7 linked regions of the Cricetulus griseus genome follow. The protein of the gene in region 1 binds, or shares a complex with, the protein of each later gene. Links are inferred from orthologs where the notes say so. Each region holds a gene or a part of one and is shown in the gene's direction. Other genes may lie near its edges. The genes, in order: Ddx46, Htatsf1, Sf3b2, Sf3a2, Sf3b1, Sf3b4 and Sf3a1.

Region 1 (3,500 bases):
TTGAGGCCAGCCTGGTCTGCAGAGTGAGTTCCAGAACAGCTGGGACTACACAGAGAAACCCTATCTTGAAAAACCAAAAAAAAAAAAAAAACCCAAAAAAAACAAAACCAAAACCCAAAAAATAAAATTTTGAAAGCAACACTAACAAAAATAAAAAATCTTATAAAAAATCTCACTGCCTTTGCAGTGAGAGTAGGGTGTGCTTTTGCCACAGATACTTTAAGTCCCACCAGACGGGTGTGTGAAGATGATGTTACCAGGGTTACCATAGCTTTGAGTCTAGAGAAGCATTTCAGCTCTTTCATAGAAGAAACAGAAAGAAAGTTAAAGCATTATCAGAAGTTTATGTGTGACTTCCGTTCTACTGCAAAGAAACTATTATTATATATATATATATATTTTTAGTTTATAATTAGTGTGTGTGTGTGTGTGTGTTTTGATGTGTTTGAGCTTGCTTCTGTGTGGTTGCCCATGTGCACATGCCACAGCACGTGTGATACGGTCAGAAGATGGTGTGTAGGAGTCAGTTGTCTCTGGGTGTTGAACTTAAGTTGTCAAACTGGCAGCAGGCACTTTTACCACAGCACACACCACTAGTCCTATATTTTGTTAAATACTTAAAACTTATATGGGAAACAGTATGTCTTGTGGAATATTTGCCACAGAAAAGTTCACTCTTGCTGGTACCTGTAACTATATAGGCCAACATTCCAGAATTTGCAGTTGCTTTGGCTGGAGAGATGGTTCAGTGGTGAAGAGCACTGTCTCTGGAGGTCTTGGATTTGATTCCCAGTGCCCACAGGGCAACCAACTCACAATGACTGTAACTCCATTTCCTTGAAGAGCCAGTGCCCCCTAATGGCCTCTGCAGGTATTGTATGTGTGTGATGTATGGACACACATGCAGGCCAAACACCCATATATATGAAATGATATAAAGGCCAAAAGGAACGAGAATGAGCGCGCGCGCGCGCGCGCGCGTGTGTGTGTGTGTGTGTGTGTGTGTGTGTGTGTGCGCGCGTGCTTTCATTGTCTGTTCAATTTGTAAATCTGCTGGCCTTGGCCTAGAAGACCGATGTCATGGGTTCCTAAATAAGAGTATATATTTTATTGCTTATTCTGACCTTCCTGTCTTGGTCTTTTAGCAATAGTTGCAAATTAAAATATGTGAAATTCATTAGTTTTACTAGTTTCTAAGGTCTGGCCTGGGTGTTGCCTGCTGCTTCCCGTCCTCAGAACTCTAGCAGCCCAAGGGTCACGTGCCAGCCTGCAGTCTTCTACTCAGACTCTGTCTTACCTGGTAGAACCATGGATGGCCAGATGCTCACATCTGCTCATAAGCAGTGATGACTCTCCTGTAAAATCTTATCCTGTTTCATTAGATCGCTGAGCTGAAAAGAGGTGCTGAGATTATTGTTTGCACACCTGGTCGAATGATTGACATGTTAGCGGCTAACAGTGGTAAGTCACAGGTATTTTTTTGTTTTCTTTTCCTTTTTGAGCTTGACACTTTTTTGTTAAAGCAGATATGAGAAACCAACAAAGGGTTTCTATGTTTCTTCTTAAAGCTGTAATATCTTAAAATGTGAATGGTAACACATTTATTGTTGAAAGTATTAACAAGTTTTTGGCAGTTCAATTTCTTTTCACAACTAACTCCGTAAGACCTTACTAGCATTTAACTTGACTTTTCATTATAGTCTTTTTATTATAAAATTCTCCACGGGAGCTAGTATTTTATACTAGTAGATACATTAAGTTATTGCAGCTTCAAGAAATGTGTCTTTTGTAAATACTGCATGTTGTTAGCCGAAATGTTGTGCTTTGTTAAAATATTCCCTGTCAAAAATGATACTAAACTGTTGACATTGTTTAACCTCTGTGGAGAAAGGCCCTTGAGGATTTATAGACCTGGGCTTCCGAGATGGTAACCGACCAAGGTAGGTGACTTAATGCTGTTTCCAACCTTTCGAGAGAGACTCTTGTCAACTGGAGATGTTAGTGTGAACACTACCTGTTTAGTCTTTGAAGAAACAGCTTTTTCGAGGTTTCCATTGAAACGTTCAGTCTGTATGTAATTGAGTGTTGGAATCCGAGAAGTGCATGTTCTTACTAGTGTTCCGCCTGAGCTTGGGGTAAACTTAATTCTCCATGAGGGTTGAGGTCTTGCGCTTGTGTAGCAGATGAAGCTTTGGGGATGAATGCTGACTGTATAATCCCTTGCTTTTTCTCACTGTTGTATTAATTAAATCTCCTGAAGTTCATCTTGATTAATTTTACCTTTTCCTTTATTTGTCTTTTTCGTTTGTCTTTTAATGACTATTTTTGCCAGGTGGTTGGTTCTGCAAAGTAATAGCAATACTTACTGGTCTTTGAGAGGGCTTTCTGCATTTTTAGTTTTTTGCTGGGTAAGAAGCCAGGATTACTTAATTAAACCAGTGGCCCCAACTAATAATTTAATGTGTATCTTTGCATAGAAAAGTATATTTGTATGTAATGCATTTATTTTTTAAAGTGTGTAAGATATTGTTACCCAGTGATTTTGAGCGGTTTATTAATGTTTTAGCATGCCCACTTAAGGCGCTTCTAATCGTATGGCAGTAGGCTGTAAAGTAATGAGGTTTTATGCCTCTAAGTAGTTAGCACTGGAACCTGCTTTCCACACATACGCTGTAATCTCTAATATGTTTTTTTCTAGGTGATGCTGTCAGATAATGGCTGATGTGGCTCGATGCTTCATCTCAGTCTTAGTTTTATGATGTGTTTTGGAGAGGGCTGTTTTCTGAATTTTACAGGTTCTTCAGGCCCTATGATGGTATGCAAGAGACGAGTTTGACCAAATAAAGGGCCTCATGTACCCACTGTCAGAAAGAACTTGCCACTAGATTAAGACTTTTAGACCAAAGTTTCTTTTCACTGTTGTAAGAAACCTAACCTACCCCTCTGCTTAAGTCAGGCATTTTAGTTCCCTTTATGGTTTTTTAAAGTTCTTGATTGTCATAATGAATTGTGACTGGTAGTTAGTTTTCGTTTTGTTTTTCTTTTTTCTTACCTTAGGTCGGGTCACAAATCTTCGAAGAGTGACGTATGTTGTTTTAGATGAAGCAGACAGAATGTTTGACATGGGTTTTGAACCACAGGTAATAATTAAATTTCTTTGTAATTTTAAAGGTTTATTTTACTTTTAATTGTGTGTGTGGTGTGTGCACATGAATGCAGGTGCCTGCAGAGGCTGGAAGTATCATATCATCCTGGAGCTGGAATCACAGGTGAATGAGAGCTGTTCCATGTGTGTGCTGGGTGGCTGCCTGGAACTTGGGTTTGCTCTAAGAGCCATCTCTCCAGTCCCTCATTGAGGTTCTTAAATTTTTGAAATATAAAGGGGATTTTGTAACTGTAGTGAGAATGAAATGTTTGTGGTCTTGAAATTCACACTCATTTTGTATTGCCTGGTATTATAGTGTGTTGGCAACATAGGGAAATGAAATAAATACTGACAT
Region 2 (4,056 bases), on another chromosome or scaffold:
CACAGGTCTGTGAGGAGCCAGGGTGCTCTAGAACCCACCCAACCATTGCATTTACAAGCAAAGGTGACTGGAATTGAAGTAACCTCTGGGTAATAATATGGATGTTTACACAGAGTTCATTGCTACTTTTAATGAATTAAAATTTTACTTGCATAGTTAAGATTACAGCAACAAATATTGTTGATAACCGCAATCCACATTTAAAACAAACACTTTGGAATTTTCTAGGTTTTTGAGTATAAAAGGATGCTGAAAACAAAATGATGTCTGCTCTCCAGCTTCTGGTACTTCTATTTTATTGTTCGCCAAATCATAAGTGAGTCTCCCTTATCTGTGCCTGTCTTCCCGACTGCTGTCCCAGAACCTCCCCCAGTGCCTGGCACTTAATAGGAGTGCAGTATAAACCTGCCTGTTTTAAAACATGGACCCCTTGTCGTGTAGAGAGACATGAAGTATTTTGGGGAAAAGTTCTGCTTATGGCAGTTAGTTGGTTGCCTTTCTAAGAGACAAGAAACCGAGCCACATGGTCCAGCTGGCATTTGTACACGGGGATGTTTACAGTCAAGCGTCAAGTTCCAGGCCTCAGCACCTCTGGTACCTTGCAGTATGATGCAGGCAACTGCTACCCTCAGCAACTGCAACCTGAAGGGAAGGTGCTACCAGATGCATAAAAAGGGGGTGAGCTTAGGAGGTGATGGGACCTTCTGCCCATGTTCAGTCACTTATTCACTCACTCTTCGCTAGATCCCAAACAGCATGTTACTGGTTTGGGTTACTGAGATGAGCAAAAGCCGTGTGTCGTGTAGTGTAGGACAAGAAATTCAAAACGATATACTTGGTTCCTTCGCAGGGGCGGGATCTGGCGTGAAAAGAGGCGCATGGCTTTCGCGAAGCGGGAGAAACTTGTCCCCACGGTCCCACCCACCTCCCCAAGATGGCGGTTGCCGCAAAGCCCAGCCCGCGCCAGCACTGCTGTCAGAATGAGGCTGTCGCCTCGTCCAAAGTGCAGAGGACGCCGCCGGGCCCAAGGCCCCTGCGGTGTCATGGATTCCTGCAGGCTTGCGTCCCCATCGGGTGCACGGACACTCCGGCGGCAGCCTTCCCTGGCAGCCCCGCCCCGCCCCCCCGCCCCCCCCCCCCGCCCCCGCCCCGCCCCCGCCCCGCGTCGCGGCCATTTGACGCAAGAGTGGGCGTGTCAGCGCGACCCGCTACGTCGCCACGCGCGGTCAATGGCGACCGCATCGGCCTGAGGCGGACTCCGTTCTCAAGCGACTTTCCTGTTGAGGCGGGAGGGAGCTGTGGTGCCTCCGGAGCCGACGGTGGCGGTGACGGCGCGCCTGCGCGCTTCCGCTTCGCCCTGGCCCGAGCGGGGGCGTCCAGGCCCCGCCGAGCCCGCCAGGTAGGTGGGGTGGCGGCCACTGCGCCGCCGGCGGCCTCGGAACGCCAGTGCGCGCGCGCGCGCGCGCCTGTGGGCCGGCCGGGAGGGCGGAGCCTGGGCGGCGCGGCGCGGCGCGGCGCGGCTCAGCCTTCCCAGGGACTGCTGGGGCGTTGCGGGGAGGCGGGCCAAGGGGGCTGCACCGCACACGACCTGAGCTCTGCCGACCTCCGGCTCTCTCACTTCTCCAGCGCCCTGTCGGCCTCTTCACGTCTCTGAACGCTGCTCCCGGCCCCGCTTCAGAAACATGAGTGGCAACAACTTGAGCGCGAACGACGAGTTTGACGAACAGTTGCGAATGCAAGAATTGTACGGGGACCCTAAGGACGGTGACACCCCGAACGATGCCTCCGGAGAAACGGAATCTGCGGGGGGACAACCGCAGGATGACACTCCCTACGAGTGGGACCTTGACAAGAAGGCTTGGTTCCCCAAGGTAAGAAAAGGGTGGCTGGACTGCCGCTGCGGAGCGTGGCTGTGGGCTCCCCTGGACACCCTTGCCGGACACCCCCTCTTACGTTTGCTCTTCTCAAGTACTAGGTCCTTGAACCGCTGCTTGATGGCTCGTCTGTTCCGTCCGTTCCAGTATCCGATGTATAAAGGAAAGAAAACCTTATGGTGGTGCCTGAAATGTTCTTTATGCCTTATTAATTTTTGTGAAGGTCACAGGCGTTATATTGATGACTGCTTTTTATTGCCAAAAGGAAAAACACCAAGGAAAACACATTTGTAACCGTTTTATCCTGTATAGCCAAACCTGTGAGATGTCTAGTGTCCATGCTGTGGATAAAATGCAGCTTGTTGATTTAGGGGGCGGGAAAGAAGGCTTTTACCCCACTCTATTGAATAAACTTTCCTTGCGTCTTGGTTTATTTTTCTACTGAATTTTGTTCCAGGGCATCTAAGTTTGACTCTTGTAACCACAGGAATATGACTGGGAAAGCACAGAAAATGGTTGGAAAAGGTCTCTACATTCGTTTTGAGTACTTGGAAATTGCTGTGTGTTTAATTTCAACGTGGAAATAACTAGTGTAAGCTGTATGGAGAAAGTACGCTGTTAGTCTTAGCCTAGGAGGGGCATTAGTATTAAAGGTTACGAACAGCCCGTCAAGTGACTTGGGAGCCAATCACAAAAAAACTTGTCTCCATTGTGTAGACCGAGTGTTAGTTTAAAAAGTATTTCAGCTATTCTTTCTTATTTTATATTTGTCCATATCTCAAGCTCCCCAAATTGTTGAAATTTGCTATCCCGTTTCTGGACTTGTAATGCCACCTTGAATGTAGATGTGATTTCTTCTACCTTCTGAGCCCTTTTAATAGTCCGACGGCAATTACTTGGTAACTTTATCTTTTACGTTACTTAAAACCCTGGTTCTTCAAACTTTGGGGGTAAAATTTTCACTTTTCTGTGTACCTGAAAGTGATAGTCATAACTCATAACTCATTCAGCCATTCAGCCATTCTACAATAGTGGGTTCCCCTGCAAAGCCAGGGCGATGGGTGTGTATCAGGCTTGCCTTTGATTTTGTTCTGTCACTAAGCGTTTCTCTGAATTAGTGCTCAAACTCAAATGGGCATTTTGTGTTCTAGCAGTTTCCAGCTTCATACATAAACATAAAAATCTTAGTGTACATACGTATTTTTGTGCATCCAAAAGTGGATTCTGTGATTAGATTTCTAGTTGACTTTTGGTTTTACTCTGTATCATTATTTGATACTTCTTTTGTTCTCTGTATCGGCCACCTTAGTCAGATATACTGTGGAGAAGCAAGAATTTATAAGACAACTAGAAAAGGTGCTAGCATCACTTAAAATTCTCTCATACTTTTTTGTTGGTAGTTTGAGCACTTTTTCATAGTTTCGTACTTTTTTCGTGTTACAGTTTCTATATAAGATGACTGCTCTCCTATTATATTTTAATTATTACAACTACCCTTGGCATAAACACTTGTTAAAGTCTTAGATTATATTACTGAATGTACAGTTGTATAACACATGAAGTAACCATGTCTGCATATGTGCTGACTTAACCCATCTAGATCACTGAAGATTTCATTGCTACGTATCAGGCTAATTACGGCTTTTCTAGTGATGGTGCATCTAGTTCTACTGTGAATGTCCAGGACCCCAACCCAAAGACAGTAGAAGAACCTCCACAAAGAGAAACCCCAGAAACCACTGACTCCAAAAAGAGGGGAGAAAAGAGAAAGGCCGAATCAGGCAAGTGGTTCTGTTTTGCAAAACCTGGGTGTAAAAAAGAAATAGGAAAATGTGTAAATACATTTTACATTTTGGAGGATTATACTAGCATTGAAGGAACATAATGTAAGTTTTCACTTTTATGTAGGCGTAAAGTCATTAAGAATTGAGATAGCCTTTTTCTTTTTCAGAGAGAGCCCTAAAACATTCTCAATCAAGAAGTTTATGTATTTTTGAAAGCTGGGTAATGATTTGAGTTAGACTTAGTTTTCTTAAATAAAGAGAACATTCTAAAAGTTTTTAAGAAGCTGCCACTACCAGGATTTCATAATGTGATTCTTGTTATTTGCAAGTGTTTTATTTATTTCATTTTGATTTTTAGGATGGTTCCATGTTGAAGAAGATAGAAATACAAATGTATA
Region 3 (4,187 bases), about 220 Mb from region 1:
GTGTGTGGGTGAGAAATGAGACCATTTGTGTTCGTCTCCCTTATTCATCACACACAAGAACAAACAGGCTGCATCGAGAGTGGAGGAAGAACTAGAAGGGAGAAGTGAGGAGACAAAATGAATGGGTGGATGCTTGGCAGGCAAGGGTCATGGGGTCTCCACCCAAGAAAAGAGTCTGAGTGTTTTCTTCCTATAAGAAGATAAAATCCCAGGGATAGATCCCCCCCACACAATCATTTATTAGGTGGCTCCTGGATGCTAGATGCTTCATGATAGAAAAAGATCAAGTTCTTGCTCCTGTTTTGGGAATGGAGGTAGGAATAAAGGGTACGAAAGACTTAAAAATGAAACAGGACAGCTGGGCGCGGGTGGCACATGCCTTTGATCCCAGCTCTTGGAAGGCAGAGGCAGGCGGATCTCAAGTGAGTTCAAGGTCAGTCTGGTCTACAGAGCGAGTTCCAGGACAGACAGGACTGTTGCACAGAGAAACCCTGCCTCGAAAAAAAAACAAAAAAAACAAAAAGGGGCAATAGATTGGCTCACATTTGTAATACACTTACTTAAACAACGAAAACCTTGGGACTGGAGAGATGGCGTTAAGAGCACTTGTTGCTTTTGCAGAGGACCTGCAACCGTCTGTAACTCTAGTTCCAGGAGACACTCTTCTGGCCTCCACAGACATCAGGCATGCAAGTGGTGCACATTTCGTTTTGAAAACAAAAGGTGGAAAGTTGGGTGTGGTATGAAAGCTCCTAGAAAGGAGAGGAAACATTTGGCAGAGAAGGCATTTTCTTAAGCCTTTCTCGAATGTGGAAAAGGGATTTTGGTATCGCCCTTCCCCCAAGTCAGCAGCTGGAACTCAGCCCGGCGGGTCCGTTCCTCTACGGGCTCCGATCCCCTTTCAGCCCATTCAAGCACGCCTGGGCCGGGAGCGAGCAGGCAAACAATCGGACACTGTTTTATCAGAGGCATCGGCTCCAACCTCCCACTTGGCGGGCGCCGGAAAGCAGTCTCTATGAGCTCCTGGGTGGAATAAGCATCCAGGTACCTCATCACCGAGAGTGTCGGGTCAGAAGACTTAGTATGCGTTTGGGCAGGTGAGGAGAAGAAGAAAGGAACCAATGGGTGGAGGGCCGGGTCTTCTCAGGGCCCTAGCGGCGGATCTACCACAGGGTACGGGATGTTAAAACAAGCGTCCAGCCTCTAGGCGGTGCAACCGTAGACTACAACTCCCAGAAGGCCGTGCAGCCTTTGTTAGCGGCGAATCCTATCTCCCAGCGAAAGGCAGTGAGTGGGTGTCTGAATCAAGTGCTTTCCAATCACCGCGGGACGTGGCGGAGTGCTCTGCCGGAAGTTCCGGGAAGTAGGCCCGGTGGCTGATCCGAGCTTCCGTGTTGGTCGCGCGCCTTCTTGTGGCTAAGATGGCGGCGGAGCATCCAGAGCCTCCCAAAGGAGAATTGCAGTTGCCGCCGCCGCCACCTCCAGGCCACTATGGCGCCTGGGCTGCTCAGGAGCTTCAGGCCAAACTGGCGGAAATAGGAGCTCCGATCCAGGGTGAGGCTCCCGGGGCGGTCAAAGGGGGCTGCGTGGGCTTGCGGGGCAGTGGGACCTGGTTACCCAGGAGACTCACGGGCGGGGGGCGGAGACAGGCCTCTGGGGCCCGACCTGGCCAAGCCGGGCTGTTCCGGCTGGTGCTGACCCCGGATTCTGTGCTTGGTTCCGCAGGGAGTCGCGAGGAGCTGGTTGAGCGGCTGCAGACCTACACCCGCCAGGTGAGTTGTGGCAGGAGTTGAAGATTACTTTTCCTAGAGGCCTTTAAGATAGGCCACGGATCGGTCTTCGTTTCTTTTACATTTTTTTAAAAAGCTTTTAGGCGGGGTTTTACTGTGTACACCTGGTTGTCCTAGAACTCTCTCTCAGTAAACCAGGGTGGCCTGGAACTCAAGAGATCAGGCTGCTTCTGCCTGCCGAGTGCTCTGGGATTAAAGGTGTGCGCCTCCACGCCCGGCTGGGTCTTCGTTTCTTACGTACTTCATCGCGGCAAGTCGGGTCTTGACCGTTTTGTCAGTTTTTGCCTTTGCTTTATTGTAAAGGTTACAGCCCCAATCTCTGGCAAACGGGCATCGGGTGCACTTTGTTAAATAAATGGTGGAGGAGGCCGTGCAATGGAATAGTTCCCTCTTAGTCTGACACACAGTTCTCTTTTCTTTTGTAGACGGGCATTGTGCTGAATCGACCTGTTTTAAGGGGAGAAGATGGGGACAAAGCTGCTCCTCCTCCTATGTCAGCACAGGTAAGAGACTGTTTATCGGTCATTCTGTTCAGGATAACCTTTCTCCCATGCATTGCACTGGAGATAAGAATATAGTGAATTAAGGGTGGGGTCTGATGAGACAGAATTGGGGCCTTTTCACTTCTGGCTTTGTGCCGGTATTCATCAGTCCGCAATGTCTGCTCTTCTAAATTTGACCTGTCATTCAAGAGTCAACTTGAATACCTAGAATTCATACTTGGTTCTCTCCCAGTTGGATGTAGTCATGTGTTTTGTTATCAGGCATAGCTCCCAAAGTTATTCATTGACACTTTAAGGGGTAATGCTGTGATTTTTTTATTATATACCTCCTGCATTTAGTAATTCATTGACAGTCTGTGCCCTGGCACATTGGTTTCTATTTCTTTAAAAAAACATATTTAAAGTTTAGTGGTGGTGAACACCTTTAATCCCAGCACTTGGGAGGCAGAGGCAGGTGAATCTCTGAGTTTGAGGCCACCTTGGTCTACTGAGTGAGTTCCAGGACAGCCAGAACACAGAGAAATTGTATCTCAAAAATAGTATCTGTGTGTGTGTGTATATGTGTGTGTGTATATATGTGTGTATGTGAATATATACACATATTTATGCATATGAGTGTTTTGCCTGCGTGCATGTCTGTACACCATGTGCATGCAGCATTACAGGAGGCCATAAAGGGGCTTGGATCACCCTGGGGCTGGAGTTACAGAGGATTGTGAGCTGTTATCTGGATGCTGGGAATTGAACCCTGTGATTCAAGAGCAGTTCTTAACTGCTGGTCCAGTCTCTCCAGTACTGGTTCCTATTTGTTTAAGTTCCTTTGGAATCCAGTATTTGAGTGTCTTCCTCTAAACTAGTGGCTTTGGCCTGGGTGGGTGGGGTGTGTGTGTGTGTGTGTGTGTGTGTGTGTGTGTGTGTGTGTGTGTGTGTGTGTGTGTGTGTGTGTGTGTGTGTTTGTGTTTTGTTAAGTGCCTGTATAGACTTTAGAGGTGTTCTTGTATTTTCTTAAATTGAATGCAATTTCAGAGGACCCAATAGCTTTGTTTGATCAGTGTTCTAAAGTTAGCCTTTTCTTCTCTTGATTCTGCTATGGTGCATTTTCTTGAGTTCTGCATCACTAGACTTTGAATGCCTGGCTCTTTTGCTAGTTCCCTTTAGAACTTTAGCTAGAAAATGCTTCTAAAGTGAATAAATGCTTTCTAGTTCATAGCTATATATTTTTTTCCACAGCTGTCTGGGATTCCTATGCCGCCACCACCTATGGGACTCCCCCCTCTACAACCTCCTCCTCCACCTCCACCACCTCCACCAGGCCTTGGCCTTGGCTTTCCTATGGCTCACCCACCAAATTTGGGTCCCCCACCTCCTCTCCGAGTCGGTGAGCCTGTGGCATTATCAGAAGAGGAACGGCTGAAGCTGGCACAACAGCAGGCAGCTTTGCTGATGCAGCAAGAGGAACGTGCCAAACAGGTAGGACAGGTGGAAACCTTACCTAGGTCACCTTAGGTCCCTGATGGGGAAATGGAACCCCAGAAAGCTAGACCCGGAGGCTGTGCCTTTTAGGAAGGTCTTGGTTGAAGACCAAGACCTAGGTAACAGCTGGCAGAGAATCCTAGAAGCAAGAATTTTGGCAGATTGGCCTGGTTGTATTGTTGCTGGCATGAGTTTTTTTTTTTTTAAGCAAGGAAATCATTCATTGAAGGAACATAGCTCTTAGAGCAGCAGAAGAGGGTAATATTTCTCTCCCTAACTTTTATGTTTTTTTTTTTTTTTTTTTGAGACAGGGTTTCTCTGTGTAGCTTTGGAGCCTATTGTCACTTGCTCCGGAGACCAGGCTGGCCTCGAACTCACAGAGATCCGCCTGCCTCTGCCTCCCGAGTGCTGGGATTAAAGG
Region 4 (4,266 bases), on another chromosome or scaffold:
GGACCGGGGAGAAGCCCCAGCTCCTATGTCACAGCAGGTGGCTGTCATTTCAGTGCTGAGGAAACAGACAGTTGGATCTCAGGGCTTGCTGCCAAGCGTGATGACCAGAGTTCAATGCTGGGAACCCACACAGTGGAAGGTGAGAACCAACTACCCAAAGTTGTCCTCTGATCTTAGGGGCATGCTCGATCACACACAAATACACGTATGTGTACATATTGATGTATTGTTTTAAGGGAGAGGTGAAGACATCAGAAATTGACATCTGGCCTCAATATACACGTGCAAGAAGCAGAAATTAAGGGTAGTGATGGAGAACCCCGTGATGATGGAGGAAGACATGAGGGCCAAATGTCTACAGGACGGTACTGTAAAGATCACCAAGGAAGAAGGCTGAATCAGATGTCACTTCAAAACCTCAGAAGCCCTGCCGGCGGGAGGAACTGTTTATGCCACACCAACAAAGTCTGCGCAGGCTGCTCATATCCCTGCCGTGAACAGGTACTGAAGGCGGGGAAGAAACTATGGTCGCACCAGCGGGGACCAGACCCGGGGGCAATTTGACAGCTGATGCAGCGCTGGGCCCCGGAAACTCGGGATCCAGGACAAACGGAGGTTGGGGCGGGGGTGGGGAGGGGTGTGCGGAGCAGAGTCCGGAGTGGGGACTGTGGGGACCGGCGCACTTACTGATGGAGAAGCCGCCGGGCTCTTCCTGGGCCACTCTGCAGCGCTCCAGCAACAGGGCTCCGAGGGGCTGCGCGAGACACGGCCATGAGCGCCGGCCGGCTCCGGGCCGCGCGGGCCCCCCGAGCCCCCCACGCCCCTACCTCGGCCTCGTCCGGGCGGAAGTAGAAGAGGAAGTTGACGACCAGCTTCACCAGCCGCCTCTTGGCCACTGCGGACACGGGGCGGTGTCAGCGGGAACTGTCCTCCTCCGCCCCCCGGGGAGGTGCCCAGCCGCGGCCCCGGCTCGCTCACCGCTGCCCTTCTTGGGGCCCCGCATGCCCAGCTCGGCCGCCATCTCCGCCGGCTGACGGGACAGCGCCTGCAACTCCTTCTCGTTGTACCGCATCACGCCGTGGGGACCCGCGCGAACCGGAGGGCGCCCTGCCTCTCGGCCGCCGTCCGCTCGGAAGGTGCGCTCAGCACCACAAAAGTCTCAGGGAACATTCCCGGAAGTCCCAGCAGAGCTACTGCGCCTGCGCGCCGGGGCGCTAGCGTGTCTGCGGGCGCAGTTGCTCGCAGAGTCAGAAAGGAAGGAAGTCGCCCGTCCTAGGTAACTGTCAAACACACTAAACGTGAGGTATCAAGCTAGATCCGTAGCACCCCCTGTCAAGCGAAGCGCGTTCCGAGGCTGCTGAGACATAACGATTTCGTCCTGTCGCGATACTCAGCGAGAGTTCGTGAATAACTCAGTGCGCGTGCGCACTTCGGACTCCGGCGCTCCTTTCACTCGCGCCTCTTTAAACCGAGTCCATCTTCTGGGCATGCGCACAACCGAAACTCCGCCTTATTTTCCCCCGGAAGTGACTGCTTAGTCCGGCCTGCGCGTGCGCACAGCGAAATCGTGGGCCTCGCGGACGTTACGCCTGGGCTGCGCGGCCTTTGGCGCCGGTGAGGTGTTACTCGGCTTGTTGGTGGAAGCTACCCCGGCTTTGGTGTCTCGGAAGGGGGTCGGAAGCAGCAGCGAGGGCGCGGGGCTGGACGGAAGGGCCGGCCGGCGGGCGGCGCGGCGGCGCTCGCGCGGCCCAGTGGCCGCGGCGGCATCGCGGGCTTCCGTGGCGCGTCTGCGGCCCCCAGCGTGCCCCGGTTCCTGAGGGTCTTTTGAGCTCCTTGATTGCCTCAGCTTTCCTCGTCGTTAGTCAGGGCCCTGGCGACTGCTGCTGCCGCCCACCCGAGCCGGTCCTTTGCTGGGACTGGAAGATAACGGTATTTCCATCCCAGGCCGTCTCCTTCTCAGACAGCACTTCGTTTCCCTGTCTCGTTTGTCGGTGATCTTATGGTGGTCCGTGAGGTAGCTCGTCTCCATCCATCCGTTCTCCCTCCTGCCCCACGCCTCACTTGTGAGCGCATCCAGGCGTTGGCAGAACTTCTATTTCAGACAGTGTCTCCCTGCCCAATTCTGGCCGACCAGGAACTCTTACCTCACACACATCGCGGTGCCTCTGCCTCCGGACGACTGGGATTAACAGCATATGCCGCCGCACCTGGCTGTTTAATTTGGAAGGGTTTATTACCGCTGACAGTAGGAGTGCAATTCAGTTTGGTGGGGAAGTTTTGTCCCAGGAGCTTGAGGCAGCTGTAGTCAGGAAGCAGAAAGATAAGTGCTGGTGTTCGCATTGCTTTCCCCGTGTTTCTTTTTCCGGGACTATCTTTTCTTCGTGTGTATGTGTGTCTGTGCATGTGAATGAGTCCAGATCCACTGGAGCTTGAGTTTCGGGTGGTTGTCAGTTGCCCAGTTTGAGTGCTAGAAACTGAACTTGGATCCTCTGGAAGGACACCAAATGCTTTTAAGACAAGATTTTACTGTGCAGCCCAGGCTGGCCTCCAACTCGGGTGTCTTCCTACCTTGGCCTCCCAAGACAAGAGCTGATGTGAAAGGTGTTTGCCACCATGCCCACCACAATTGCTAGTGTTTCCCGAGGTTGAAAATGTCACAGGCTGGGAAAGGTAGCTCAGTGGTGAGATTTTGCAAGACTCTGCTCCTACCCCAGAACCAAGGCGCATGCTCACCCAAGCTAGTTTTGTCCTGGGTTTTCTTGTTTTTTTTTTTTTTTTAGCCTCTCCAAAACAGATGAATTGCATTTTTCATTTAGTGGGTGCCCACACCCCTACACGTGAAAGCAAGACTCTAGGGGCCTTGAGTTGTACCCTCAAGCCTGTGGCTGGCTGGACACCAGAAGTCAGAGTAGGTTTTCATGCTGTCACTGCTCCAGGTACCCTCTTGTTCTGGGAAGCCTGCGGCCAGCCTTGGACTCTGCTCTTGCATCTGGCCAACTTCATCTGTGGGTCTGTGTCTCCTGGTAGCTTTCGAAGGTATAGGCAGTGCTTTTCTTTTTCAGTCCTGTGTGGCTGAGCATGAAACAGACCAGACAGGCTGGTCCTGCCCACAGACAGCTTCAGTACACATGAATGCTCTCAGCCATCCCAGCGTCTTAAGGCCCATGTGTCCCTTGGCTTTTGCCCCTTCCTCCTCCAGAGTCAACAGCCAGCGACCTCACTGTGTCTCTGCCCTGAGTCCTTCTGACTCCATGGTGACACTACCTGGCCCTCGGAGTTTTTGATATCATTTTCAAAATTCCTTTTGCTGTATGAGGCTCCAACAATGATGACAAGGACTGCCCTCCACTTGTCTCCTGGACATGTCCCTGAGTTTACCTCTGGGTTTAAACCAAGGCCCTGGGGCAGACAATGAGCAGTCTAAAGTGTTCTTCCTAGTGGACAACATTCAGGACTTGGAAGACTAGGAAAAAACATAATCCTTGTGTGTCAGATGGGTGTGTGAGGTCTTTTAATCCCAACACTTGATGGATCTCTGAGGACAGCCAGGTCTACTTAAAGAGACCCCCCCCCCCATCTTAATATGACACAGCAGGCAAAGGTGGCTCATACCTGCAGTCACTTGGGAGGATCAGGAGTTTAAAGGACAACCCAGGCTACATGAGACTCTGCCTGTCCCCCACCTACCTCATAACCAAAGACAGATATAATGGCACACCCCTGTAATTTCAGTGCTTACGGGGACCAGGAGTTAAACTAGCCTGAGCTACACAGTGAGTTTACAGCTAGCTTTGGTTACGTGAGACTTGAAAAAAATGACACTAGCCTAGGGTCTTGGGCTGGTTGCTTCTCCACCAATCCACATTCACTCTAAGGGTAAGGTGGAATCCAATCTGGAACATAGAAGGCAAGGGAAGGCCTGCTTGCTGCATGAATGTGTGCTGTTCTGAATCTGTTGCCCTTTTGTTCCTCCAGGTTTCTGTGTGTCCCTGAAGCTTCCAGGCCTTCACCATGGACTTCCAGCACAGACCTGGAGGCAAGACTGGGAGTGGGGGCGTGGCCTCCTCCTCTGAGAGCAACCGGGACCGCAGGGAACGCCTGCGACAGCTGGCCTTAGAAACCATTGACATCAACAAGGTGGGGGGGTACCTACAGTAGGGGTGTGGAGGGAGCAGTGTCCCCACACCTACAGACCCAGGTTCATGGGGCCAGGCTCTGCGATCTAATGGGTACATATGTTCCCTCCAAGGACCCATATTTCATGAA
Region 5 (3,500 bases), on another chromosome or scaffold:
ACTAGCCCTCAACTGGTGATTGATTGTCTTGCCTCAACCTCCTGTGTGTGTTTTAGCATACCAATTTTAATCATTTAAGGACAGAATTTAGTGACTTTAAACATTCACAGTGTTGTACATTGTACACTATGATTATAATTCATTTCTATATCTTTTTTCAGTGACCTGACCCAAACAGAAACTGCATCTTTTAAACAACACTTCTTTCTGTACCACCTTTGGCTCCTTGCTAGCCTATATTTATGTTCTGTGTCAGAAGTTTGCCTAAATCTAGAGTTTGATGTATAGTGAGAATAGCTGGAACATGGCTTAAGATACACAGTGTGTATCTTAAGTTCCACTCTGTGATCATGTGGATGGAAAAACAAAGTTTTTTTCTTTTGGTTTGTTTCTCATTAGTTGCTGTGGTCAGTGGAAAGGAAACCCAAAGACACTAAACAAAACTTTTAAGTATATCTTGTTTTTGGAATATCTTCCTTTTGAACTTAATAATATTGACTGTGGGTGAAACAGTGTTTTAAAAATGGTTAATAGTGTGATCTTACTGTCCTTTTTCTTTGAAGATACTCCTGGGCATGGGAGCGGATGGGCTGAGACTCCTCGAACAGATCGAGGTGGAGACTCCATTGGTGAAACACCAACTCCTGGAGCAAGTAAAAGAAAGTCCCGTTGGGATGAAACACCAGCTAGTCAGATGGGTGGAAGCACTCCTGTTCTGACTCCAGGAAAAACACCAATTGGCACACCAGCCATGAACATGGCTACCCCCACTCCAGGTAGAAACTCTTTCTCTTGTGACTGTTTTAATTTTTTTGCTGGTTTTTCTGGGTGCTATTATTAAGAGTAAGAACATAAAAATACCTTGATTTGCATTTCTAATATAAAAACAATCAGGTTAGGGCATATTTAGTAGTAAAGTCTTGCACTGTGGATCATGTAAAATTTTGCTGTTTTGGTAGGTCATATAATGAGCATGACTCCTGAACAGCTTCAGGCTTGGCGGTGGGAGAGAGAAATTGATGAGCGAAATCGCCCACTTTCTGATGAAGAATTAGATGCTATGTTCCCAGAAGGATATAAGGTACTAGTGATAAATATATGGTGAATGTGTTGGTACTTAGGATATGAGTTTTAAGCATTTGGCTTAAAAAAAAAAAATGCCAGCAAATTTGGCCTCGCCCAAATTTACTAATTAATTCCTCTTTTTTTTTTTAAAGATACTACTAAATGCATTTCAGTTGAAAAAGTAATAGACATGAAATGAGTAGCATGCAGCTTTTATTATTTTCCTAGCTGTGGTGGTGCCTGCTTTTAATTGAAGTGATGGGAGCCAGAGACAGGTGGATCTCTGAGTTTGAGGCCATTTTGGTCCACATAACAAGTTCCAGGACAGCCAAGAGACCCTGTCTTAGAGAGACTCTGTCTTAATCGCCGCTCCCCCAAGTATTTTGGGAGCTAGAGAAGTGGCTCAATGCTTAGGAGCATGTGCTGCTCTTACAAAAGCCTATAGTTCAGTTCCCAGCACCCACATCAAGAGGCTCACAACCATCTGTGAATCTCATGAGAATTCTGTGCCTTCTGTTGGCCTTCTCAGGCACTGTATGTACTCAAGTGTACAAACTTAAATTCAGGCACACAGATACACACAATTTGAAAAAAAAAATCTTTTAAAAAAAAGTTATTTTTAATTATATGTGAGTTCAGGTGTCTGCAGAAGCCAGCGTAATTCCTCTATTGGTGGTTGTGAGTTGCCCAGCATGGGTTCTGGTTTCTGAACTCTGGTGCTCATGATTTGAGGTGCAGATGTTCTAAATCACTAAACCATTTTTTCTAGTACCTGAGACTGACTATATAACCATGGCTAGTTTTGAACTTGAGATATAGGCCAGGCTGACCTGAAATTCAGAGATCTGTCTAAAAGGTGGTATGCCTCACTCCTGGCTTTTATTACTTTTAAGTAAGGAACCACAAGGACTTCTGGAGGTCCACAGACAGTGCTTTAAGAACCTCTGAATCAGTGGAATGGAGTAGCTTGTTTCATTCAGTTCATGATTTTGTAGGACTGAACTCAGATAACATGCTGGTGAATTTTCTTTTTTAATGTGTGAGTGCTCTATCTGCATGTATGACTTTATGCCAGAAGAGGGCACTAGAGCTGGTAGTGAGCCACTATGTGGTTGCTGGAAATTGAATTTAGGACCTCTCACAGAGCAGCCAGTGCTCTTAACTGCTGAGCCATTTCTCCAGCACCCTAATGAGTAAAATCTTAAAATGTACCTTTAGGTCTTCAATGTACAGTGACACCAATGGATTTGACATACTGTAAGAGTCCGTGTATAAATTCTCCTTTACTCAAAATGATTAGTGAGAGGTCCATACTGCACATGCAATAACAAGAAGCAAAAAATTAGTTGGGTGATGAAGTATAGGTGGCATCAGATGTATTTAACATGATTTAATTGTGAGTCTCATTGACATTTTCCAGACATGGTAATTAAGGCTATTTGGAGAAGACCTGTGTTAAGTTTATTGTCTTACCTAGGAAAGTGTAATTAGCAAAAGAGTCTGTCTCATTGCTTTAAAAAACCAAATCCTATTGTTTTAAACTCATATTTCCAGATATTCTATGGGTATTGCAATGGGTTTAATTTGACATTTCTTTCAGATGGTTGTGGCAAATACTTTAGTTTTACTTTGTTGTATTTAAGTTTGTCTTGTAAGAGTTCAGTTTTAAAATACATTTTTATAGTATTTGGGGTTTATGTGAATATTTCATTTTATTACTAAAACATGCATGACTTTTATCTATTATATAAACCATATAAGTTTATTTCCACTTAAATGAATGATGTTTGCTCTAAAAGTACCTTTTGGGAAATCACTGACTCATAGGTTTTATAATTTTCAAGTTTTGTTAATTTCACATATTGTCTTGATAACATTGATATCTCAAGCATATTAATGGTTGAAGGTGACTAGAAATTTTAAAGTACTCCATGTATTTCTTTCCCACTTAAATTTTAATTAACAAATTAGGAGATAAGTGTTTCTCATAAATATCTTCTTAACTTTTAATTAACTTTGAACTGTGGCATATGTTTTCTTCAGGTAAATAAACTTGCTAGCTAATAAATTACAAAGATGTCTTTAAGTGTAAATGCTACTATGTTGTCTTTCATTGTGTAAAGCCAAAGCAGTCCTGCTAAAGTGTGTTATAACTCTCTTAGGTCCTTCCCCCTCCAGCTGGTTATGTTCCCATTCGAACTCCAGCTCGAAAGCTGACAGCAACACCCACACCTTTGGGTGGCATGACTGGTTTCCACATGCAAACTGAAGACAGAACTATGAAAAGTGTCAATGACCAGCCGTCTGGGAATCTTCCATTTTTAAAACCTGATGACATTCAGTACTTTGATAAACTATTGGTAAGTGATGCTAACAGAAATAAAGTATTATTCTTTGTTTGGGAGTTACAAATCACTGTCTTGATCCACCTTTAC
Region 6 (4,069 bases), on another chromosome or scaffold:
ACACCAAGAATATCTCCTGAGGATCACTGCAAGAAGAGAGATCCAAATACCATCCTCTCTCAGATCCGTTGAGACTGCTAGCATTCTCGAAGGCAGGGCAGAGGGAATGTGGAGGGAGTTCTGCTCATGTTTCTTTGTATCTGACCTCAGTGTTTCAAGCTTTCACATTCCAGCCCATAAAGGAGCTCACTCCGTGAGTGAGTTTCTGTAGCAGACATGGAGCTACCAACCTCCAGCTATTTTTGTTTCTCTGGAATAAGAAACAAAACCACTTCAGAACGTTTCCTTTTTTTCTCTGGCAATTCCATGCCGTTTAGATGACAAACTGTCAAAACTGTGAGATCAGAGACACTTCATCAGTTCCAACAAGATGCCCCAGAGACTTCATTCTCAACCCCTCACACTGCTTTGAAATCCAGTTTCTTAGTCTTCTGTGGGAATGAGGGAAATAAGGGAGACACCCTGTCCTCCCACTGTATATTTTTGTAGTGGTATTTCTATTTAAGGACTTCATTAAAGCACAGTATTTCTACACATTGCTGGTATTGTTTCTTGTGTTGAATGAAGATCTCGGTAAAGTGGTTGGGGGAGGGTATGCACTGAGAGAAAAGCACCCAGATTATTGATACAGAAATTAAGGACCCAGTTCGAGGCCAGCCTGGTCTACAAGAGCGAGTTCCAGGACAGCCTCCAAAGCCACAGGGAAACCCTGTCTCGAGAAACAAAACAAATAGATAAAAAAGAAGTTAAGGACCCAAAACAGGAGGGGCTATTCCGACGAAATTTGGAGAAAGAAGCACCAACCCCTTTTTTTTTTTTTTTTTTTTTTTTTGAGACAGGGTTTCTCTGTGTAGCCCTGGCTGTCCTGGCCCGGGAGGAAGGCTCTCTGAGTGTCTCTTCTGTGGGAGGGGAGGGATGCACGGTGCTGCCGAGTGCTCCCGAGGCTGAGACTGACCGTGAACACACGCGGCACCGTGCCTCAGATGACCCCACGAATAGTGGGGCTCAGACACTTCCGTCTGCACTGAGGTAACAGGCTGCGTCCCGAGGCAGCCGGCCCGCCCCTCCCTCCCCCCAGCACGCTTCTCTGCGTCACAGAACATACAAGGCTGAGATTAGGGCTTAAATTTGGGCTGGGGAGCAGCGGGACTGCCTGACAGGCGAGAGCCGCGTCGTCAAGAGGGGCCTGAGCGCCTCGGCGCCAGCCGGGCGTCGTGAGAGCTCCACCACAGCGTCTTTCCAGACACGCGTCAGACGCCTAAGATGGCCGCGGCCACTTCCGGCTCCTCCCCTGCCGCCCGCCCCGCCCAATGGGAGCCTTGGCCCGGAAGTGGAAGTCGTAACAGGTCAGAGGGCGGTGCTGCCGCTTAGAGACGGCGGGAGCCTCTTCGCCATGGCTGCCGGGCCCATCTCCGAACGGAATCAGGGTAATTGGGGGAGAAGAGCCCAAGGTGGGCCCAGGGAGGTGGAGGGCAGATGAGTGCTAGAAGCGTTAGCGCCAGCGTGGGAAACTAGGTTTCCCCGGGAAGGCCCGCGTCTGGGGGCTGGGCCTGGGGGCCGGGTTGAGGCCGAGGCCTGTGAGGGTGATGCCTCTGGATCCGGTTCCCGTAGGCACTCCCGCTGCTACCAAGCGCATCATTGAAACTCCACCGGGAAGTACACAATCCGCAAGAACGCCACATTAGACTTGAGCGGGTTTTTTTATACTAGGCAGGCAAAGGGTGATCTCAGGGTTTTAGTTACTTTTTTTTTAAATTTCTGTTTTCCTTTTAACTCGTGACCTCGTCCTTACCTTCTGCTTTCTTGCTTTAGATGCCACGGTGTACGTGGGCGGTCTAGACGAGAAAGTGAGCGAACCACTGCTGTGGGAGCTCTTTCTCCAGGCAGGGCCGGTGGTCAACACCCACATGCCAAAGGATAGAGTCACTGGCCAGCACCAAGGTGAGTATTTACGGCAAGAAATGACTTTACTTTGGGTTAGCGGCCCCTGAAGCATCTCAACACTAGTCACAGCTATTTTGGAATGGTTTCTTTCTCTAAGCTTCAGTTGGCAGTTTGTTTCAGGAGTAGTCTCTTAGCTTTAGTTTGAAGTTGGGATTCTTCCAACTTGTTCTTTGTTTGGAGGCTGGTGAGTTAGTGTGTCGTTTTGAATCTCTTCATCTGAGTAGTCTTTTCTTCAATTCCCCAGGCTATGGCTTCGTTGAATTCTTGAGTGAGGAAGATGCTGACTATGCTATTAAAATTATGAACATGATCAAACTCTATGGGAAGCCCATACGGGTGAACAAGGCTTCAGCTCACAACAAAAACCTGGATGTAGGGGCCAACATTTTCATTGGGAACCTGGACCCAGAAATCGATGAGAAGCTGCTTTATGATACTTTCAGCGCCTTTGGGGTCATCTTACAAACCCCCAAGATTATGCGGGACCCTGACACAGGCAACTCTAAGGGTTATGCCTTCATTAATTTTGCCTCCTTTGATGCTTCGGATGCAGCAATTGAGGCCATGAATGGGCAGTACCTGTGTAACAGACCCATCACTGTGTCTTACGCCTTCAAGAAGGACTCTAAAGGCGAGCGCCATGGCTCAGCAGCTGAACGACTTCTGGCAGCCCAGAACCCGCTGTCCCAGGCTGACCGTCCTCACCAGCTGTTCGCAGATGCACCCCCTCCACCCTCTGCCCCCAATCCTGTGGTTTCATCCCTGGGTTCTGGGCTTCCTCCACCAGGTAAAGCTTTTAGTTCAAACTACACCAGTGAGAGGCCCTTGGGAGGGAGGGTCAGAAGGCAGAAGAAACCCTGAGGGAGTAAGCTGTTAACTCAGCGGGCAGCGAGAAAGGGATGAGGAGTGCTGGTGGAAGGGATGCAGATGTTGGGTTTCTTTGGGAGACTGGAGTTTAGTGTGCTGGAAGGAAGCTAGAGCTCTGTAAGACAGTCTTTCTTTCTTCACAAGATAGACTCTCGTTTCTTGTATAGGCATGCCTCCTCCTGGCTCCTTCCCACCTCCAGTGCCGCCACCTGGAGCCCTCCCTCCTGGGATACCCCCAGCCATGCCCCCACCACCTATGCCACCTGGGGCTGGAGGACATGGCCCCCCAGCAGCAGGAACTCCAGGAGCTGGGCATCCTGGTCACGGACACTCACATCCTCACCCATTCCCACCAGGTGGGATGCCCCATCCAGGTAAGTGGTCTGCTGGGAAACGGAGATGAGCTTGTGAGAGTGATTCTGTCACTGCTCTTTGTCTTGGGTGGAAATAGTCTAGAGTCTCCCTTTCCTTCAGAAAATACTTCTGTGTGTACTTCAGCTCCCTCCCGTCTTGTCTCTGGTTTTTCCTTTTTCTGCAGAATAGCCTGTTCTTACTGTTTTTACTCTCAGCCTCTCCTCTGATTCCCAGGAAGGAGCTCAGTTGCCAGATCTAGGCGACATTTTTGCTTATTTTTTTTTGTTGTTGTTTTGTTTTAGGGATAAGGTCTCTCTGTGTAGGATCCTGACTGTCCTGCAACTCATTCTGTAGACCAGGCTGGCCCTGAACTCAGAGATCTGCCTGCCTCTGTCTCCCAAGTGCTGGGTTTAAAGGTGGCACTACCACTGGGCAGCCGTTTCTGCTTTTTGTTTTTGTTTTTCGAGACAGGGTTTCTCTGTGTAGTTTTGGAGCCTATCCTGGCACTGGCTCTGTAGACCAGGCTGGCCTCGAGCTCACAGAGATCCTCCTGCCTTTGCCTCCCGAGTGCTGGGATTAAAGGCGTGCACCACCAACGCCTGGCCTGTTTCTGCTTCTTAACCACTACTATACACATGACGAGCTATGCATGTATTAAACTGTTTCCTCTATGTGACTTATCAACCTCAGCAACCTGGGTCAGCCCCCTTTTTTGTCTGTGTAGATTTTGTGCTTTGTTCTTCTTCCAGTGTTTATTTGTAGTGTTAAATGTGCAGGTACTGATTCCTTCTGTCTCTAGTCCATGGTTCTTGACAGGCTAGACAAGGCTGCTGCTCAACCCACAGTTCACTTTTCTCCTTCCAGCATCTCCTTCTACAGCCCTTGTTTGTAGCAGCTAAGTTCA
Region 7 (3,290 bases), on another chromosome or scaffold:
TTTCACCTTAGTTCCATATTAACTGTAAAGCAAGACAGGTATATTTAAGGAAGGGAAAGGGGGAAAGGAAACTGAGCATAGTAATATATACTTAAAATCTCAGCACTCTAGAGGCAGAACGATTAAGACCAGCCTGGGCTACATATGAAACCCTGTCTAAAAACTAAAAAAAGAAAAAAGAAAGCCTTACATGGTGTGTCACAAGTAGCATCAATAGTAAATGGGCCAGAGGGACAGTAGTCATTGTTTGGATGGGCCCACTATTAGTAGAGCGTAGTTTCTGGTTGGCTTGGAGTTCTCCAAGCATAATGTGCACTCCATTTTGCAGGGTCCAGTGTCCATCAAAGTGCAGGTACCCAACATGCAGGATAAGACAGAATGGAAGCTGAATGGGCAAGGGCTGGTCTTCACTCTGCCACTCACAGACCAGGTATGTGTTGCCACCCCCAATTGTTACAGGTGCTTAGCCAATGGGTTGTTTTTTCCAGCTGGTCTTAGCAAGGGAATGAATGACCTTTCTTTGGTCCCACAGGTCTCTGTCATCAAAGTGAAGATTCATGAAGCCACAGGCATGCCTGCAGGGAAACAGAAACTACAGTATGAAGTAAGCCAGGGTAACCCCAGTCCTGTCCATTAGGTTCCAACACCTCTGTCATCCCAGAAACAATCTTCTGTTACAAAGTAGGATAGAGAGAGACCTGGATGTGGCCATCTGAGTCCATCCTAGAAATAATACAGGTGGGATACTGGGGCAGGTGAACCTGACAGTGCAGGATTCTGACAGCATAGTCTAATGCAGGGTCTAAAAACCTTTTAGAGCTGGATGGGGACCAGCCCAGTGATGTGATCTTAGCCTGGCCCTCTCTGCAAAGGGGGTCTTCCAGGTCTTCTGGTGCCTCATCTCTTCTGTAAAATGAGGGTGTTGAATTAGGTAATCACTAAAAGTCCTATGACCTGAGAAGTTGGCTGTTTCTTGGAGTCGGTCATGGGTAGCATCTTGGGAGTTGAAAATTGAACCAGGTGTTGACTAAAGGTCCCTTATGTTTGTCAATATCAGTTAGAAGGAAAAAGTGTTCTAGAAGAAGCCAAAGTTCCATAATCCACTGACCTGACCTTCCCTTTAGCATCCATATTGGTGAAGTCTAGAATATTAACAGCTAAGCTCAGTTGTGTGAGGCTGCATTGATGTGGTCAAAGACAGGTGCCATACCTAAGACGTTTGTTTGTATTCCAGGGCATTTTCATCAAGGATTCCAACTCCCTGGCTTACTACAACATGGCCAGTGGTGCTGTCATCCACTTGGCCCTCAAGGAGAGAGGCGGCAGGAAGAAGTAGTGAAGAGATACCTACAGTTGGGCTCCTGCATTGGACCTCTTCTTTTACCACCACTTCCAGGAGCTTTTCTGGGACCTCAGGCACAGCCCGTGTATTTGTTTCCCTCTTAATCAGTTTCGAAATTCACCTTGTCATTTAGGAGAGGTGTTGCCCATTATCTAACCTGACATGGGTAAGAATAGCAGAGCTTTCTAAGCCAGTCTGTGGAATGATTTCTTGTTAGGTTCTGAATTTGAGATCCTTCAGGAAGCCCATTAGGAATTCAAAACTCAGTGTTTCCTACAGGATAGTTTCATAATACCGAGTGATGTTTGGCGGATAGAATATGGTTACTGTCATCATTTTATATCATGCTTTGGTTTCTAATCTCTTGAAGCCAAGCATGGTACATGCATGCTTGTAATCCTGGGACTTGGGAGGTTTAGGCAGGAGAATTAGATGTTCAGAGTTACCCTCAACTGTACAGCTTGAGGCCCACCTGGGCTGTGGGAGATACTGTGTTAAAAAATATTTTTAAAAATTAAAAACAAAACACCTCTTGGACCCTCATAGAAACAGTTTATTAAGATCTGACTCTTGGCCAAGTGTGCCTACCACCTAGTACTGTGGAGCTCTTGGGGTCTCAGTAGTTATGGTCTCTGTATATAAATTTTTGCTGCCGTCATTAGTCTTTCTTCTGAAAATCATCATGGGCTGGGGAGGTGGCTTGATGAATAAAGTGCTTATGGTGCAAGAATCCATTGTAAAAGCCACTAGCACAAACTGCTGTAACCCTTGTGCACTGGGAGATCGAAGACTAAGCCAGAATCATCTGGAGCAGGCCCGTGAACACTAGACCGTCTCTAAAGCTAGATGGAAGGCAAGGCCTGACATCCATGAATGTCTTCTGGTCTCATATGTGCCATGACACACCTCTACAAGAAACACACATTTTATATTTGTGAAACATTGGGACCCTCCAACATGCAGTATCCCACAGAACAAGGACCACCACAATAGCAGTTTTCTTCAAATCTAGAATCACCCATGAACTGATTGGCATAGTGGTTTTAGGTTAGGTGCTTCATTCAGTGTGATCAAAGGGTATTGTTTATGATGTGTGTTATTAATTATGCCAAGTCTATGTGCTTATCTAAGGGCCTCAAATTTAGTTTACTACCTAACGTGTTTTGTTGTTAGGGTTTTGTTGTTGTTGTTCTTTTTTTATTTGTTTTATTTTGAGACAGCTGGCCTGGACTTGCTATATAGACCAGGTTGGCTTTGAATGTACAGAAATCAGCTTGCCACTGCCTCTCAAATACTGGGATTAAAGACATAAGTTGTCAGACCTGACACTGCTTCCTGTTCAAGCACTTGTGTGGTAGTCCTTATGTGATTTTTCTTGTTTGAGGTACCAGAGGCAAGTCACATTCCCACAATCACATGGTTCAAAGATGAAGAATATGTGCAAAACATTTGCCTTTTGGTCACTGAGTGAGGTCCTGATGTAGGTTATTATTTTTGGAATTCTGCTATTAGTGGCTTAGGTGCTGCTGTAAGTATTCAGAGGAAGGGAGATGAGAGCTTGTTGATTATGTAAACAAAGCTGGTTTTTTTAGGAGGATTACACATGCTCAGATCCCCTAAGAGTTCCCAGTACCTTTTCATTTGCAGTCCGTTGATGTGATGAGGAAAATGTTCTCAGGATCAAAGCAGTATTCTAGTCCTCACCCTAGCTCTCCACCTTTCCTCTTCCAACCTAAGCTTAGGCAGCTCCGAGGCAGGGCCAGAAACAGCTCCATCACACACTTCTCACAGTCAATCGTGTTGATGTAATGCCATTCTGCATCCTGTGTGACATTTGCCTTTCACATGGTTACCTGAAGTTTGCCTAGGGACTAGTGCAAAATTTGGCTTTCTGGTGGACTTTTCTGATTTAGGGGCCTGAAAGCAAGCTCACTGCTAGACACTAATT

The links.
Region 2: Ddx46 (region 1) and Htatsf1 share a complex: the UniProt entries of both Homo sapiens proteins name them as parts of the 17S U2 SnRNP complex. The link is inferred for Cricetulus griseus from reciprocal best matches to the Homo sapiens genes DDX46 and HTATSF1.
Region 3: Ddx46 (region 1) and Sf3b2 share a complex: the UniProt entries of both Homo sapiens proteins name them as parts of the 17S U2 SnRNP complex. The link is inferred for Cricetulus griseus from reciprocal best matches to the Homo sapiens genes DDX46 and SF3B2.
Region 4: Ddx46 (region 1) and Sf3a2 share a complex: the UniProt entries of both Homo sapiens proteins name them as parts of the 17S U2 SnRNP complex. The link is inferred for Cricetulus griseus from reciprocal best matches to the Homo sapiens genes DDX46 and SF3A2.
Region 5: Ddx46 (region 1) and Sf3b1 share a complex: the UniProt entries of both Homo sapiens proteins name them as parts of the 17S U2 SnRNP complex. The link is inferred for Cricetulus griseus from reciprocal best matches to the Homo sapiens genes DDX46 and SF3B1.
Region 6: Ddx46 (region 1) and Sf3b4 share a complex: the UniProt entries of both Homo sapiens proteins name them as parts of the 17S U2 SnRNP complex. The link is inferred for Cricetulus griseus from reciprocal best matches to the Homo sapiens genes DDX46 and SF3B4.
Region 7: Ddx46 (region 1) and Sf3a1 share a complex: the UniProt entries of both Homo sapiens proteins name them as parts of the 17S U2 SnRNP complex. The link is inferred for Cricetulus griseus from reciprocal best matches to the Homo sapiens genes DDX46 and SF3A1.

The regions. Positions count from the first base shown.
Region 1 is NC_048596.1:274,635,438-274,638,937, forward strand, and holds part of Ddx46 (probable ATP-dependent RNA helicase DDX46), read left to right. Parts: intron 1-1,382; coding exon 1,383-1,461; intron 1,462-3,057; coding exon 3,058-3,140; intron 3,141-3,500. UniProt on the Homo sapiens protein: Component of the 17S U2 SnRNP complex of the spliceosome, a large ribonucleoprotein complex that removes introns from transcribed pre-mRNAs.
Region 2 is NC_048604.1:15,383,249-15,387,304, reverse strand, and holds the start of Htatsf1 (HIV Tat-specific factor 1), read left to right. Parts: upstream 1-1,256; 5' UTR 1,257-1,399; intron 1,400-1,626; 5' UTR 1,627-1,682; coding exon 1,683-1,871; intron 1,872-3,474; coding exon 3,475-3,655; intron 3,656-4,016; coding exon 4,017-4,056. UniProt on the Homo sapiens protein: Component of the 17S U2 SnRNP complex of the spliceosome, a large ribonucleoprotein complex that removes introns from transcribed pre-mRNAs.
Region 3 is NC_048596.1:54,019,700-54,023,886, forward strand, and holds the start of Sf3b2 (splicing factor 3B subunit 2), read left to right. Parts: upstream 1-1,387; 5' UTR 1,388-1,421; coding exon 1,422-1,554; intron 1,555-1,725; coding exon 1,726-1,772; intron 1,773-2,215; coding exon 2,216-2,293; intron 2,294-3,523; coding exon 3,524-3,763; intron 3,764-4,187. UniProt on the Homo sapiens protein: Component of the 17S U2 SnRNP complex of the spliceosome, a large ribonucleoprotein complex that removes introns from transcribed pre-mRNAs.
Region 4 is NC_048598.1:101,580,085-101,584,350, forward strand, and holds the start of Sf3a2 (splicing factor 3A subunit 2), read left to right. Parts: upstream 1-1,466; 5' UTR 1,467-1,614; intron 1,615-3,975; 5' UTR 3,976-4,011; coding exon 4,012-4,137; intron 4,138-4,249; coding exon 4,250-4,266. Other genes in the region: Plekhj1 (pleckstrin homology domain-containing family J member 1), read right to left, coding at 688-754, 828-895, 979-1,072. UniProt on the Homo sapiens protein: Component of the 17S U2 SnRNP complex of the spliceosome, a large ribonucleoprotein complex that removes introns from transcribed pre-mRNAs.
Region 5 is NC_048595.1:409,450,288-409,453,787, reverse strand, and holds part of Sf3b1 (splicing factor 3B subunit 1), read left to right. Parts: intron 1-563; coding exon 564-776; intron 777-959; coding exon 960-1,081; intron 1,082-3,227; coding exon 3,228-3,425; intron 3,426-3,500. UniProt on the Homo sapiens protein: Component of the 17S U2 SnRNP complex of the spliceosome, a large ribonucleoprotein complex that removes introns from transcribed pre-mRNAs.
Region 6 is NW_023276806.1:60,350,896-60,354,964, reverse strand, and holds the start of Sf3b4 (splicing factor 3B subunit 4), read left to right. Parts: upstream 1-1,269; 5' UTR 1,270-1,393; coding exon 1,394-1,427; intron 1,428-1,812; coding exon 1,813-1,941; intron 1,942-2,188; coding exon 2,189-2,731; intron 2,732-2,978; coding exon 2,979-3,185; intron 3,186-4,069. UniProt on the Homo sapiens protein: Component of the 17S U2 SnRNP complex of the spliceosome, a large ribonucleoprotein complex that removes introns from transcribed pre-mRNAs.
Region 7 is NW_023276807.1:100,709,777-100,713,066, reverse strand, and holds the end of Sf3a1 (splicing factor 3A subunit 1), read left to right. Parts: intron 1-328; coding exon 329-430; intron 431-532; coding exon 533-604; intron 605-1,234; coding exon 1,235-1,336; 3' UTR 1,337-2,790; downstream 2,791-3,290. UniProt on the Homo sapiens protein: Component of the 17S U2 SnRNP complex of the spliceosome, a large ribonucleoprotein complex that removes introns from transcribed pre-mRNAs.